3 linked regions of the Drosophila melanogaster genome follow. The protein of the gene in region 1 interacts with the protein of each later gene in a pairwise test. Each region holds a gene or a part of one and is shown in the gene's direction. Other genes may lie near its edges. The genes, in order: CG14855, smal and CG9757.

The links.
Region 2: the proteins of CG14855 (region 1) and smal interact in a two-hybrid assay, tested with the Drosophila melanogaster proteins (one large-scale study listed by BioGRID).
Region 3: the proteins of CG14855 (region 1) and CG9757 interact in a two-hybrid assay, tested with the Drosophila melanogaster proteins (one large-scale study listed by BioGRID).

The regions. Positions count from the first base shown.
Region 1 is NT_033777.3:14,794,380-14,798,998, forward strand, and holds CG14855 (uncharacterized protein), read left to right. Parts: upstream 1-1,925; 5' UTR 1,926-2,171; coding exon 2,172-2,504; intron 2,505-2,572; coding exon 2,573-2,831; intron 2,832-2,891; coding exon 2,892-3,306; intron 3,307-3,375; coding exon 3,376-4,039; 3' UTR 4,040-4,095; downstream 4,096-4,619. Other genes in the region: jvl (javelin-like), read left to right, coding at 150-683.
Region 2 is NT_033779.5:6,177,459-6,182,234, forward strand, and holds the start of smal (smoke alarm), read left to right. Parts: upstream 1-1,674; 5' UTR 1,675-2,241; intron 2,242-4,776.
Region 3 is NT_033777.3:13,611,062-13,614,470, reverse strand, and holds CG9757 (uncharacterized protein), read left to right. Parts: upstream 1-2,037; 5' UTR 2,038-2,093; coding exon 2,094-2,477; 3' UTR 2,478-2,888; downstream 2,889-3,409.

The DNA.
Region 1 (4,619 bases):
GCCTAAAAAGCCGTCTAAACCCCTTTCTTACTTCTGTTTGCGTTCTAATTTCTAATCCTCATTACCTGATTACCCATTGTACCAAAGAATTGATATTCTATTCTGTTTTTCTTTGCTCTTACCCGAATTCTCCCGAAAATGATGCTTAGAATTTGGCCAACACCGTTGAAAAGCCAAATTTCCGTCTCAATAACCAAAATTGGCAACTATGGCAAACGAGCAGCAGCAGCCAGGGAAAGATTCAAATGGAACGATATCTGCCCCATGAGCTGCACGATGTGTCCGAGGAGACGGCCTACGATTCGTACTACACCGAATATACCACGCCCGATTCCATGGATTGTGGCAGTGCCAATCTCCTGGTCACTTTCGACTATGGCTACTGTGACTCCATGGAGGCCAGAGCTAATCCTGCAGCCCCGGAGGATGATGATCGGTGCGATGGCGTTGATCCTGATTATGGTGGTGATGGGTGTGCAGACGAGGTGGATGCCATCTGGTTTGGTACTCCGCCCAGGGATAAGAAGGACGAGAAACTGTTTGAGGTGCATCATGTGCAGCACAAGCTGCTGGATGACAGCATGCAGTCCTTGATTTCCTACGATGTTGATGATTTTGAGGAGGAGCTATCGGAACCAGATCCAGATGAAGAGATTTTCTATGATAGCATTGAGTGTGTTTAAGTGATTCCCGGGTGCAGGTGTTTAACTATCAACTATCATATCTAAACTAGTCCTTAGTTTCAAACCCCCATTTCACACGTTGTTTTGTAATTATCGAAAGAAAATGGATAAATATGTGTATGTAGCTGTAGTTTAGTGTTACGTGATGTGTATAATGTTGATTTAAATATATTTGGTTTAACTATCCAACGGCCCTGAAATTATCGATTGTAACTGAAATGAATTGTGACTGAATTGTATTGAACGTAATGTTTGTTTTCTCCATTAACCATTCAGGGCTTTAGTCTTTACGTAAATTGTTTCTTCGACTATTTATTAATAGCATATAATATGTATGCCTTACCCACTACTTTGTATGTAAAATATTATTTAGAGCGTGTGCATCTTTGTAAGGAGTCGTAAGTTAGTTATCCTGCACCATTGCCTATTTACTCAAAACTACATTTAATTGACTCGTACTAGGCCGGCTAAGTAGTTTAGTTGTTAATCAAATTTAGTTAACACATCGCATCTAATGTATGTATGTACAGTTTGGTATACTATCTTATTATGTATGTATTCTATTTAAGTCGAAAGGCAATTGTAATAGGCTCTATCTATCATGTTATCACGAAACTGCGTTTACTACATTTATAAAACCAACAGACATAGAAGTGAGGGAAACCAACATTTATGATTCATATTAAAGCTAATAATAATATATTCAAAAGGCAGCAAATGTAGACATGTATCCATTTCAACAGCAAATGTAATTGATAAACACATAAATGAAAAAAAAAAACACTAAAATAAAAATTATAAAAAATACATGAGTGCTTGATTTTTTATTAAATCCGTTGGATTACTGCGGTAAGTTTTGCGACTATGTATATACATTTTTTAGCTATCTTTTAATATTTTCAATCAACATATAATGGCGAGACATACTTTTACTTTGACACACTTACATATATATCAATCAAAATCAATCCAAGTTAACCCTCAGACTGCTGGGCTGCTTTTCAATGGCCAAGTGGCATAAATTGAAGTTAATTGATATTCAAATTTTGTAAATGCAGTGCAAAATTTCAAGCCGCCTTTTTCAAGCGAAACGTGACCGAGTGTCATTTTTCAAATTTCGCATAATTGAATAAGAGCGTTAAAGAGTTCGGAGAAAGGTATATTGGGCTCTCGTGTAAGCACCGCTCTCTTATTGCCGCCCCAGTGGAGCAGTTGGTACTCGAGACTGAGTCTCAGGCTCAACCAGTTGGCTATGTGCGCTCCCTGTCAGCGGAACATACAAATCCGGAACGGGTTTCGCCTGCGTTCAGTAACCCCGGACCCTTGAAAGCGTTTGGCTTGGGACTAATAAACCGATATTGAGAACCCGCTGGCGATTAGTTGACTCCCCAAACGCCTCCATAAATGTCGGATTTCTCAGATATGCGTTTATCATAGCACTGCGAAAGCCGCTACAATTGGGGACCGCTAAAATCTGATAACGACAGCATGGATTTCGAGGAGATTCTGGCCAAGTGCGGCAACAGCAGTCGTTATCAGTTTGTACTGCTGGCGCTCTATGGCTACCTAATGGTCGTCGTTTCGATGCACTATTTCTCACAAAACGTCATCAGTTTTGTGCCCGATCATTGGTGCTATCACGAGCAGCTGGAGAATCGCAGTTTCGCTGAAATCGAAAAGATATACTCTCAATTCGAGAAGCCCTCTTGCACGCGACTGGAGAAGATCGATGAGGATGGGCAGAACCACACGCTCAGTAGGGAGCGCTGCAATCGGTGGATCTATAAGTACGACTTTGGGTACAAAAGTATGAATACAGAGGTAAGTGCGTGATTATAATTTTCCGTTTTGGAAAAACTATGTTAGCTTTGGTTGTTATTGTGTTTCAGCTAAACTGGGTCTGCGATGAGGCATATAAAGCACGAGTGGGTCAGTCGCTTTTCTTTGTGGGTTCGGTGTGCGGAACTCTGGCTTTTGGTCTGCTTGGTGATCGAATAGGACGCATTAGGGCTTTGATTTTGGCCAACTGGTGTGGCTTCTTGGGCGATTTCTCAACCATATTCGCTGGGAGCCTAACTTCTTTTTCGATCAGCCGTTTTATATCTGGATTGGCGGCTGATGCCAACTCCTATCTCATGTACATACTGAGTAAGTAATTGCATGGAGTTCATAACGCAATGACTAGTTCAATTGGGTCTTTCTGGACAGTTCTCGAATACGTTTCACCCTCTTTGAGAAATGTGGGTCTCAATACAGTTTTGGGCAGCTTTTATTGTCTTGGCCTGATCGGAGCCTGCTGGCTAGCTGTCTGGGTGGGCCACTGGCGCATTTTCCTGGCGTGCTCCTCGGTTCCTCTGCTGCTGGTTACTCTGTTCTACTTCCTCGTCCAGGAGAGCGCCCAATGGCTGGTCACGCGAAACGATGTTGATGGAGCCATTAGGCGATTGGAGCGCGTGGCCAAGATCAATCGCCGCCAGGTGGCCGACAAAGACTTCAAGGATTTTCGCATCTACTGCGAGCAGCACTATCGCAAAGATAAGAACCAGGAGGAGCACGCAAAGTTGCTGGACATGCTGAAAACGCCGCGCATGCGCAGTACGGCATTTAAGCTGCTGCTCATATTGTAAGTACTAAATGAAATATATTCAAAGAGTTATTTTATTTATTTATTTACTTTATTTTATATCTGCAGTATAATCATCGTTCCCTGCTACAACACCATCGCTCGCAATGTTGAGGGTCTCGGCATTTCGCCTTTCATCATGTTTTCCCTAAATGCGCTGACTCTGCCACCCTCGGGTTATCTACAGGGTTTGCTCCAGGATCGGATGGGTCGCAAGGCCACCGCGGTCGGTTGGATGGCCATAACAGGAATATTTGCCGTCGCTGCTGGTCTGGTGATATCGCAAGGAAGCAATCGAAATGTACTGCTGCTGGTGGGTCTAACAATGGCGGCCAGATTTGGAGTTTCCATTGCCGATGGCGCCAGTTCCCAGTTCTCCACGGAACTAATCCCCACCAGCGTGCGGGGAAGGGGCGTGGCCGTGGTGCATGTGGCTGGATTTGCCGCCTCCTTCCTTTCTCCGTACATTCTTCACCTGGGCACCTACTACAAGCCAGCTCCGTCAATCATTTTGGGTCTTCTCTTCCTATCCGGAGCCTATGTGTGCCTGCTGCTGCCAGAGACTCGCAATAAGAAACTTCCAATGTCCTTGGCCGAAGGAGAAGAGTTCGGTCGTGGAGAAGGCATATTTGATTTTCTTCGTCATATGTTTAGGAGGGAAGGCAGTAAATCAGAGGTGGAAATGGGTCCCACGATTGTTGAGGAGGACACTCTGATTAATAAGCCGGTTTAGCAGTAAGTGCTGTTGTTATATATGAAATAGAAGTAATAAAAAGTAAATCGTTGATTAATTTGCATAGCAGCTTAAAATTCTTAGCTACGAAATGCCCCGCACTTTGCATAACCCGATATGCAGTCAAAAATTATAGACATTGTATTTAAATGTATTTCTCAGCTCTAAATTGGTATTGAAATGCTCTGAATAGCCACATGACATTGTTAGCTGGGTGTAAAGTCTTTAGCATCAACAAAACTGTCTGCATAAATAAACAGCAACATAGTTGTATATTTTGAATAGAAGACTGCCGATTACAGCGATGATATGGGAGCAACAAAGACGCTTATCAACCCCAATAATTAAATCACAACATATAAGTTATGATCGAATCGAGCAGTTCAGTTCGCTCACTTGAATCCGGAGACTTATCAGCTGCGGAGAGGAAACACCAAGAGTCGATTCGACTATTTAACTCCAATATTAGTTTACCGCAGCCGCTTTCACAAGGCGCTCTTAACTATTCAACTATTCGATGGAGGCGTTCGCCGAGCAGAGCGGACCAACAGCGCTAGCTACTGCCAGTGGCAGTACGTGC
Region 2 (4,776 bases), on another chromosome or scaffold:
AGTATCTATAAATACTTTATGGAGTGGGAAAGGTCTGGGACAATAAACAAATGTGGCAAAAGATACTATGCCAGTATCGCAGCATGGGGTTGATGTATTCACAGAGTCCTTGAAGGCTATGTAAATATTTACTCGTGATAACGCAACATTTGCTTGTTCTATCTATGTATGTATTTTGTATATCTATTAGCAGCGCTGAATGCATTTTTGTGTAAATTCCTGATCATAACCATTTGGCCGCCGCTCATCCGCTCGTCCGCTGATTTCTTTGACTGCCGGGCAGGCGAACAAGCCGTTTGACAGACAGCGCATGCCCAACGGCTTTGGCCGGAATGGGTATGAGTTATGGTTGGAAGTTGGCAATGCTTCTGCTGTCTGCTGTTTGTTTGTACACTCGGATGTGACAAATGGCCAATTGATAGGAACATGCAAAGAGTCTATCGAATAAAACTACGTACAAAGTTAAATTGACTACAAGACAGAATGTTTGATTTGCTGGAGTTGTCCTGTCAATAACATTTACATTAATCTTGCAGAATATTTGTATATATTTTTAAATTAATATCCAATTCATAGCTTTCTGGGTGTCTGTAATCATAAAATAGAAGACAAAAAACATGTTTTTTTTTTTTAACTAAGAAAACAGACAAAGAGACAGAAGAAGTACTGCTTTCATAAACAGTCACCATATATGATACAAATTGGTTACGGTTTCCAGATAACGCCTTTCCAAACGCTGTTCGCTTTTCGATAGGCGATCTGGCCCGGAGCGATATCAGTTGATTAGCGGCGATCCACTCGAGGAATTCGTTGTGGGCCCCTCGAAATTGTGTCACCGAGTCAAACATTCGAAAGTGGCGAAGAACAAAGGGTCGGATCAACTGGTGAGACCAATCAATCAACCCACAACCTCTGCGATACAATCTACAAGTGCGTAGCTATAAATCCCCATGCCCCACGAAAACCGTAGAGTTCGTAAATCATACATGTCCATATGATATGGTGCACCAATGTGACAAGATCGCATTTCTCTGCTGGAAATTATGACAAGTTGTATGTGCGATTTCGGCTTAATGCCGGCGTCAATCATTGGAAATTCATCAGAGGCCGCGATTGGCGGCGGTCCGCCATTTCCAATTTGGACTGCAAGGCGGATTCGCCGGAAAAAGCGAGCGAAAGGAAAAGTCGGGGAGGGTAAAAACAAATCAACAGTTCGAATTCGCTCTTGTTTTGTTCCACATTCGCCGCAGACGGAAATCTCTTATACGAGCCGGAAGAGAGCGGAAAAACTCTATCGGATTTGGAGTTTCTCGGCGATTTTCACAGAGCACAGGTGAAGTGCCTGGGCCTGGGCAGGTAAATTCAACTCCATTGTGGATAATTTTACTGAGAATTGAAAAACTTAGTTTTTAGCGCAGCATATACAATATAAACTATACTGTAGCTTAAATGATAAGTTTTAAGGAAACAAAAACATAGAAACAACTCCAAATTATGATTTAAATGTTAATTTGATAATATAAATCCTTGCAGGTCCTTTACAGCGCTCTCCACACATAAACTTTGTAAACAGTTCCACCGACGAGCGAACAGAGTCCACAAAAGAGAAGCGCTCGCTCTCTTAGCATCCACACTTACATGCAACGGAGTGGTGCGCTGCACGTTACATTCAATCGGATTCAATCGCTCGTCGACCTTCGTGCCGCGCGTTACAAGAGTCGCAGTCGCTGTCGCAGTCCGCCGTCTCAGTCTCAGTTTGTGCCCCCAGTCTCAATCCAGCTCTCGTGACAAGAAGAACAGAACGCCTTGGCCACTGGCAACGCGGTCGCGAATCAACGCAGTTACCCATCTCAGGCTTAATCGGCTGGCAGCCAATCGCCAAGAGATCCGACAGATACGGATACGCAATCCGCGCAGCGCGAGTGCAGAGATACGAATTGGTCAGGAATAAGATACGGTGCAAGTGGCACCCAAGATGCGGCAATTGTGCACCTGCGGCCGCCAGCAGCGTGCGGCAAAGTGTGTGAAATGTGCTACCTGAGAAAATGCCCACGGAGTGCTCAAACATATCGAAACAAACCAGCAGATAGAGTATCTTTTGCTGCCCCAGTGAACAACAGTGCTTGAAATTTTAGTAGAGAAATCGTTGTTTTTTGCTACAAACTAAAGTGCAAACGGAATACAATCAATATACACCTTAAGTCAACGCAAAGGCTAATTCAAAACTCTTGGAATATTTAGGTGAGTTGAGAGTGAAGAAAGGCCTAACTTGAAAACAATCAGTGCTCAATGCTCAAAGCAATCATGTCAATAAACAGGATTTCCCCATAGAGACTTTGCAATGCATAAATAAATATTGAGTTGCAAACAATCAATTAGTGCGACAAAAACAAGTTTATGTCAATTACTAACTAAATAATTCATTTATCCGAAAAGAAACCAGAAGAATATTGGCCCAATCAAATGTATCTCATCAAGGCGCATTCCAGAGATCAAAAGATATCATTTCCAACCCGTTCTCCCCATTTCTTACGGTGGCTGTCCCCTTGCCTCATTAATTAAACACAAATTAAGAAAGAGCCAAGCTGTCAACATCTGGGGCTAATCAAACTAACCTGCTGTATTTTATAAATAAGAAGCGAAGAAGAAAAGCGGCGGCAGGTCGTAAAACGCTAAGATACTGCCCTTATCTCCTAAAGAAAGATCTTTCTCCGAACACTTTGTGCCTCCGACGGCTGTTGCACACAGATTCTTATCTCGCAGATGCAGTTATGTATCTAGATATTCCGCAGTACAACCTCAACCTCGAGTCTTTGGCAACTTCACACTCCGCTAGACGCGCAACGAGGCCCCTGGATTTCATAATTTTCCCGCTGTTCTGCGGGGTAATTAAGTAGAAGTATGTTTGGCAATTAAAGTTCCAGAGACCTCGCTTTCGCTTTTTCCCCCCGCAATCATCAGCTTTTGTAAATAACTCGAGTTATTTTTCTTGCTCACTTGGGATGGTTTAGAAATTTAAGATTGAGATTGGGCATCCGATGGGTAGCGATTACCGCGAGCTGCGAAGATGCAGCCGCAATCGCGCATGCATAATTAATTTCGTGTAAAAATCATAATTACACCAATTAAAATTTGTGTAAACAAGTTGGCAGCAGGCGGGCGAGTCCCTCAATCTGCCCCAAGCGCCGTTTGGGGCGCAATCATTATGATAATACCGCTGAAAAAACTTTTCGTGGTCGATTGCGAGGGGAACTCTTTATTGCCATTGTAGAAAAAGTTGGTGGGCCCAGGCGGAATTGAGTTGGCTATATTATGGTAATGAGACGTTTGAGTATGCCTCCAATGAACAACAGATTTGCCGCAGATTTGCCCAATCTGCTTTAAACTGCGCCTAAAACCCATAATTCGATGTGCGTGAAAGAATTTAAAGCACCGAAGTTCATAGATGCATCCACATAGCTACCATTAACAGGTTGTATTCAATATTTTATTCAAATCTAACTAAAATACTAAGACAGCAAAGTGATAAAATTGATTAGCAATGAAATTATGAAATGCAATAATCGCTAGTTTTATTTCATTGCCACTGAATCCGAAAAATACGTTATTCATTCAAACGTTGCGTTGAATAAAATGTGAAATATGTTTGTGGAATTAAAAAAGGTGTATAAAACTATATTTATAAATATACAAAGTGTGCAGCTTGGAAATTCATGGGAATTATTATGAATTTATTTTGTACATAAACACACATCTCTTTCATTTACCTGCAACCATCTACCAACGAAATGAAAATGTGTATCTCAATTTTTGGGGGGAAAATATTTTCTTTTGTCAGCTGGGATTACGATGGAAATGGGGCAACAATATTTACCATGTTCTTCTGCAATTTTAATAAGGATCCATTTAAACAGCATTGATTAAACTTTGTTTTCATTAAAATCTAAACAAAGCCCATTCATGCAATGTCAAAAATAAATAATAAAATGTCTAATTAGACCATTAAATCCGATGGCAATATAACAGCCAGCTAGTCGCATTTGAACTATTTAAGTTTAATTTGAAATGCCAAGGTATATTTCTTCTTTAAATAAGTAAAATTCCACCGACGTGCGGCAATTTATATTAGTGTCTTCTTCAACGAATTCAACTTCCATTTAACCTCATTCTGTACACATCGCATCCCCCAGGTCATTTTTCAGGGGCTGGCAAACACAACAGTCAACAAAATTTATACCCAAGAAGTGTCATTCTCGTGTGCATTTCGGGCTTTTTTTTTGCCGCTGGTTCGACGAGATCGTGTCGCTGCCCACATGGCTGCCACCGAATTGCTGGCGGAGACTCCAACTCCTCCGCGTCCCCTAATTAATTAGCATCTAACTAAGAATAATGTTTCCTGCGGCCCTCGACTGTCATAACTTGGCCGCAAGTTTATTTGTTTGGCTCGCCAACCGAAGGCGGCGCACAAAAGACATAGCCACCATTCCGTGAGATACAGATACAAGTACACAGATACAGATACAGATACGGGGGAAAACTGGAGGCACAGATGCCAAGACGGCGCACAGGTGCCACATTTTCTTCGATTGCAGGGGTATAAATGCCGCCAGGAGCACTAATTCGTGGCTGCCACTCCGCATTTTTGTTTGTTAGTTTCGTTTGGCTGGGTTTTTATGGCCAGTGTTGGTTTTTTTTTTTAGTTTTTATACACTGGCGTTCTTGTGTTAACTTGTAAAATAATTACTGACGCCGTTGTCTAGTACTTGTGAGAAAAAA
Region 3 (3,409 bases), 1.2 Mb from region 1:
GAGAAAAAAACTCAATGAGAGATAGAAAAAAGGAAATTTCAGACGCGGTATAAATTAAAAATACACTTTTTACTCGACCACCGACGGCGCAGCGAAAAAGTATTTTGACTATGACTGTCATAATCAGTGGAAGTAGAAAAAGGCAGCAGAAAACTTTCAGAAAGGCCAGGCAAACATTTAACCCTCAAAATTCTACCTTCTACCAACTTCACAGAAGACGATTAGTAGAATTACTGATTTACATTGGCCAGGTGTTCAGGTTTTTGGCCATAAAATTCCATAAATTATAGGTAGACCAGGTTCATGGTTGTTTAAATGTTGTAGCTTTTTAATGTGCGTTATAGAAAAATTACACGACCTTGAATGAAAACTTGAAAATACGTCTCAAACGGTATAAATAAGTGATATTAGTTTGGAAAGCTGAATAGTTTTTTGATGGTGATAACGATGACATTATAATTAGTTGATATGAAAAATGTTGGCAAACTAAAAAGTGCTAATAAACATTAAATCACGTGCCATTCAATTTAGATGTTTTTTACCTGCTTAAGCAAGGCGAATCTTTTTTAATGCGAGTCCCCCTTAAAAGTTTTTAATATTTTCTTGCTTGCATTTTGTTTGTTACTTCTTTAAAAGTTCAACACAAAGTTTTGCCTCGTCGCAGAAGGATGGCTATAATGTTGTGAAAAACGTAGGCAGTCTTGTCATTTTCTACATTTTACCTTATCCCCGTTGAACTGAACTGAACTCAACTGATGGTCGGCAATTGACGGATGACAGGTCAGACAGCAAATCAGTTTAATATACAAGTTTCAGACGTAGCAGATTTATTTTAACAGACACTTTGAGTGCATAATTGAATAAAAAGTTTTCGTATCTCGGTTTTTATTTCTCCAGAAAGTGATACAAATTGTTGGTTTACATTTATTATATTAGGTCAGGTCAGGTGAATTAATGTTTTCTAAGCATTTCAAAATATTTCCAGCCAATAAAGTAATTAAAAATAAGAAAATAAATATAATAAGCTGATGGTTTCTTCTGCTTTAAATATAAAACATGTTTCGCCATTTTTTGTTATGTAAGATAACGAGTCTGCCTAAAATGGGTTTTGAAGATCAACAACAAACTGGCTTTTGATTTTGTTTACTAAGTATTATTATTAATTATTAGTATTTCTGAGAATTTCATAAATTAGGATTTCTCCGCTTATAAACCTATTAAATCTAGGTTTTTATTTATAACACGCACACTTGTACTATTACGTACACTTGTATAGTTAATTACGGCAGAGTTCCTTTGTTTTGTAAATAGTATTGAATATTCCATACTTATAAATGAAGTGCTAAATCTTGATTAACAATGACCGAACCAGATCTTAAAATGTGCTAACCACTGAGCAAGCTAATAACCGAAATGAGTCAGTGCGTTGGCCAAAAATGAAACCGACAACATTGATGACATTTGAATAACAACCAGTTGCGTCGACTGTTTACCCTTAGATTTTAATTAAGTCAAACAAACAAAACAAAATCCCCGAACTTCCCGCATTGAAAAGCCTTACGAAATCCGACAGACGAAAGATGAATGGAGAGGCCCACTTGAGATGATGCTTCCCATCTACACTTGGCTTGGCCACTTGTCTATCGATCTGTTTTGTTGTGCGAGCCAAAGAAACTTGAATGTTTTGCGCATTTGAATAGTCGTCCGGAGAAAGCCCATCCTGAACCGGCTGGCCACTTCAGACTTTCCCCCTTCGTCTATACATTTGGTGGGGTGTTTGCCAAAAAGTTTGCCTCCGTTTCTGTTGCCTAATAGGTTTTGGTTATTATTATGGAGCAGCTTTATTGTTGTTGCTCATAGCGCTTAGCCAGACAGTTAATACGAATCGCTCTGCTCGTTGTATACATTTCAGTTCTGGCGTAACACTCACAACTTTGATGTTCCGCGCCCAGTCGAACCACTTCTACTTTTATTCGCTCCCCCATTGCCAGTCGATAAGTTCCGAATCATATAAATTGACCGGCCGCAGAGCAGAGACTTCGTAGAATCCATCGAAACTTTGCCGGTGATTAGTAGCAGAAGTTTCCTCGAAAATGCGCACATTTGTTTGCCTTGCCCTGGCGACCATTCTCCTGGTCGCCGGCTCATCAGCAGCCACATATGATCCTGTGGCGGCGCAACTTCTGGATGTGGATGCAGGTGTCCAGGCTCCGGTGGCAGCACGCCAAGCACGTCAGTTTGGCGGCGGCTTTGGCGGTCCGGGAGGCGGTTTCGGAGGTCCAGGCGGCGGATTCGGAGGTCAAGGCGGCGGATTCGGAGGTCCAGGCGGTGGATTCGGAGGTCAAGGCGGCGGATTCGGAGGTCAAGGCGGCTTCGGAGGCGGTGGCTTTGGTGGACGTCCAGGTGGCGGCTTTGGCGGTCCGGGAGGCGGCTTCGGAGGACCAGGCGGTGGCTTCGGTGGCGGATTTGGAGGCTAGAAACCAAGCAGCAATCATCTGTGACTGACTAAGCATAAAACGCTAGAAATAGACTTTGAAATCAAAGTGCAATCAAGCACGCTCTAATTAAGTTCGAAATACATTTGCCCCTCTTCTTTGATTCACTTAATTTCCTTGTCATTTGCATGGCTTTCAGTGATTGGCATTGGTCTTCAGGGTTAAATGTTGTTTGTGAATGCACTAGGAAAAAAAATGAATGTGGATACGAAAAGAAACAGGATGACTTGAAGCAATCAATGCTAAATTAAGAAGCTGATTAAAAGTATGCCACAGTATTTAAACTTTGGAGCCTTCAAACTTCCAGTCTTTCACAGTACAAGTATACGTATAAAAATGAAGATAAATTTGAAAATTTTTTTTCTTGGACTGTAAATCAGCATTTAATTCGTTCGTTCACGGTTTGTTTGCTTTTTCCTACTTATAACAAAGCAGTCCATTGAAGAAACTTTGCTTCGGCTGCTGCCACTGGCGTTTGCTATCTAACTTGCCAATCGCGTTGGATGGCAAAAGTCGTTTAAGATTAAACGCTTGCTGTAAAATTTCTCTTTTGACAAGCGCCCCTTTTATTGTTAAAAAATTAACTTGGCTTTAAATTTACGCCTTTTGTTATCCCTTGACCTCTGCGCAAAGTGAAGCCAACCAACCCAACCATTCCAAAAGCCCACCCACTCATACAAGGGTCATACGCCAACATTGATAAAAGTTTTCGTTTTTTTCTCGTTGCCCCATCACCCTCTTTTCATTTTTTCTGGCTCGTGAAAAATTTCTTGTTACTAGAACGCAGTCTTGTAAAAGGCTTTGTTAGTCTACACTTTCACGGTATACTTTGGGAACTTTGTTAAAAGTGGACTTTTCCCTTTTTTTTCCCAGCGATTTAATGACTTTGCATAGTTGGGGTTTAAGGAATTTAA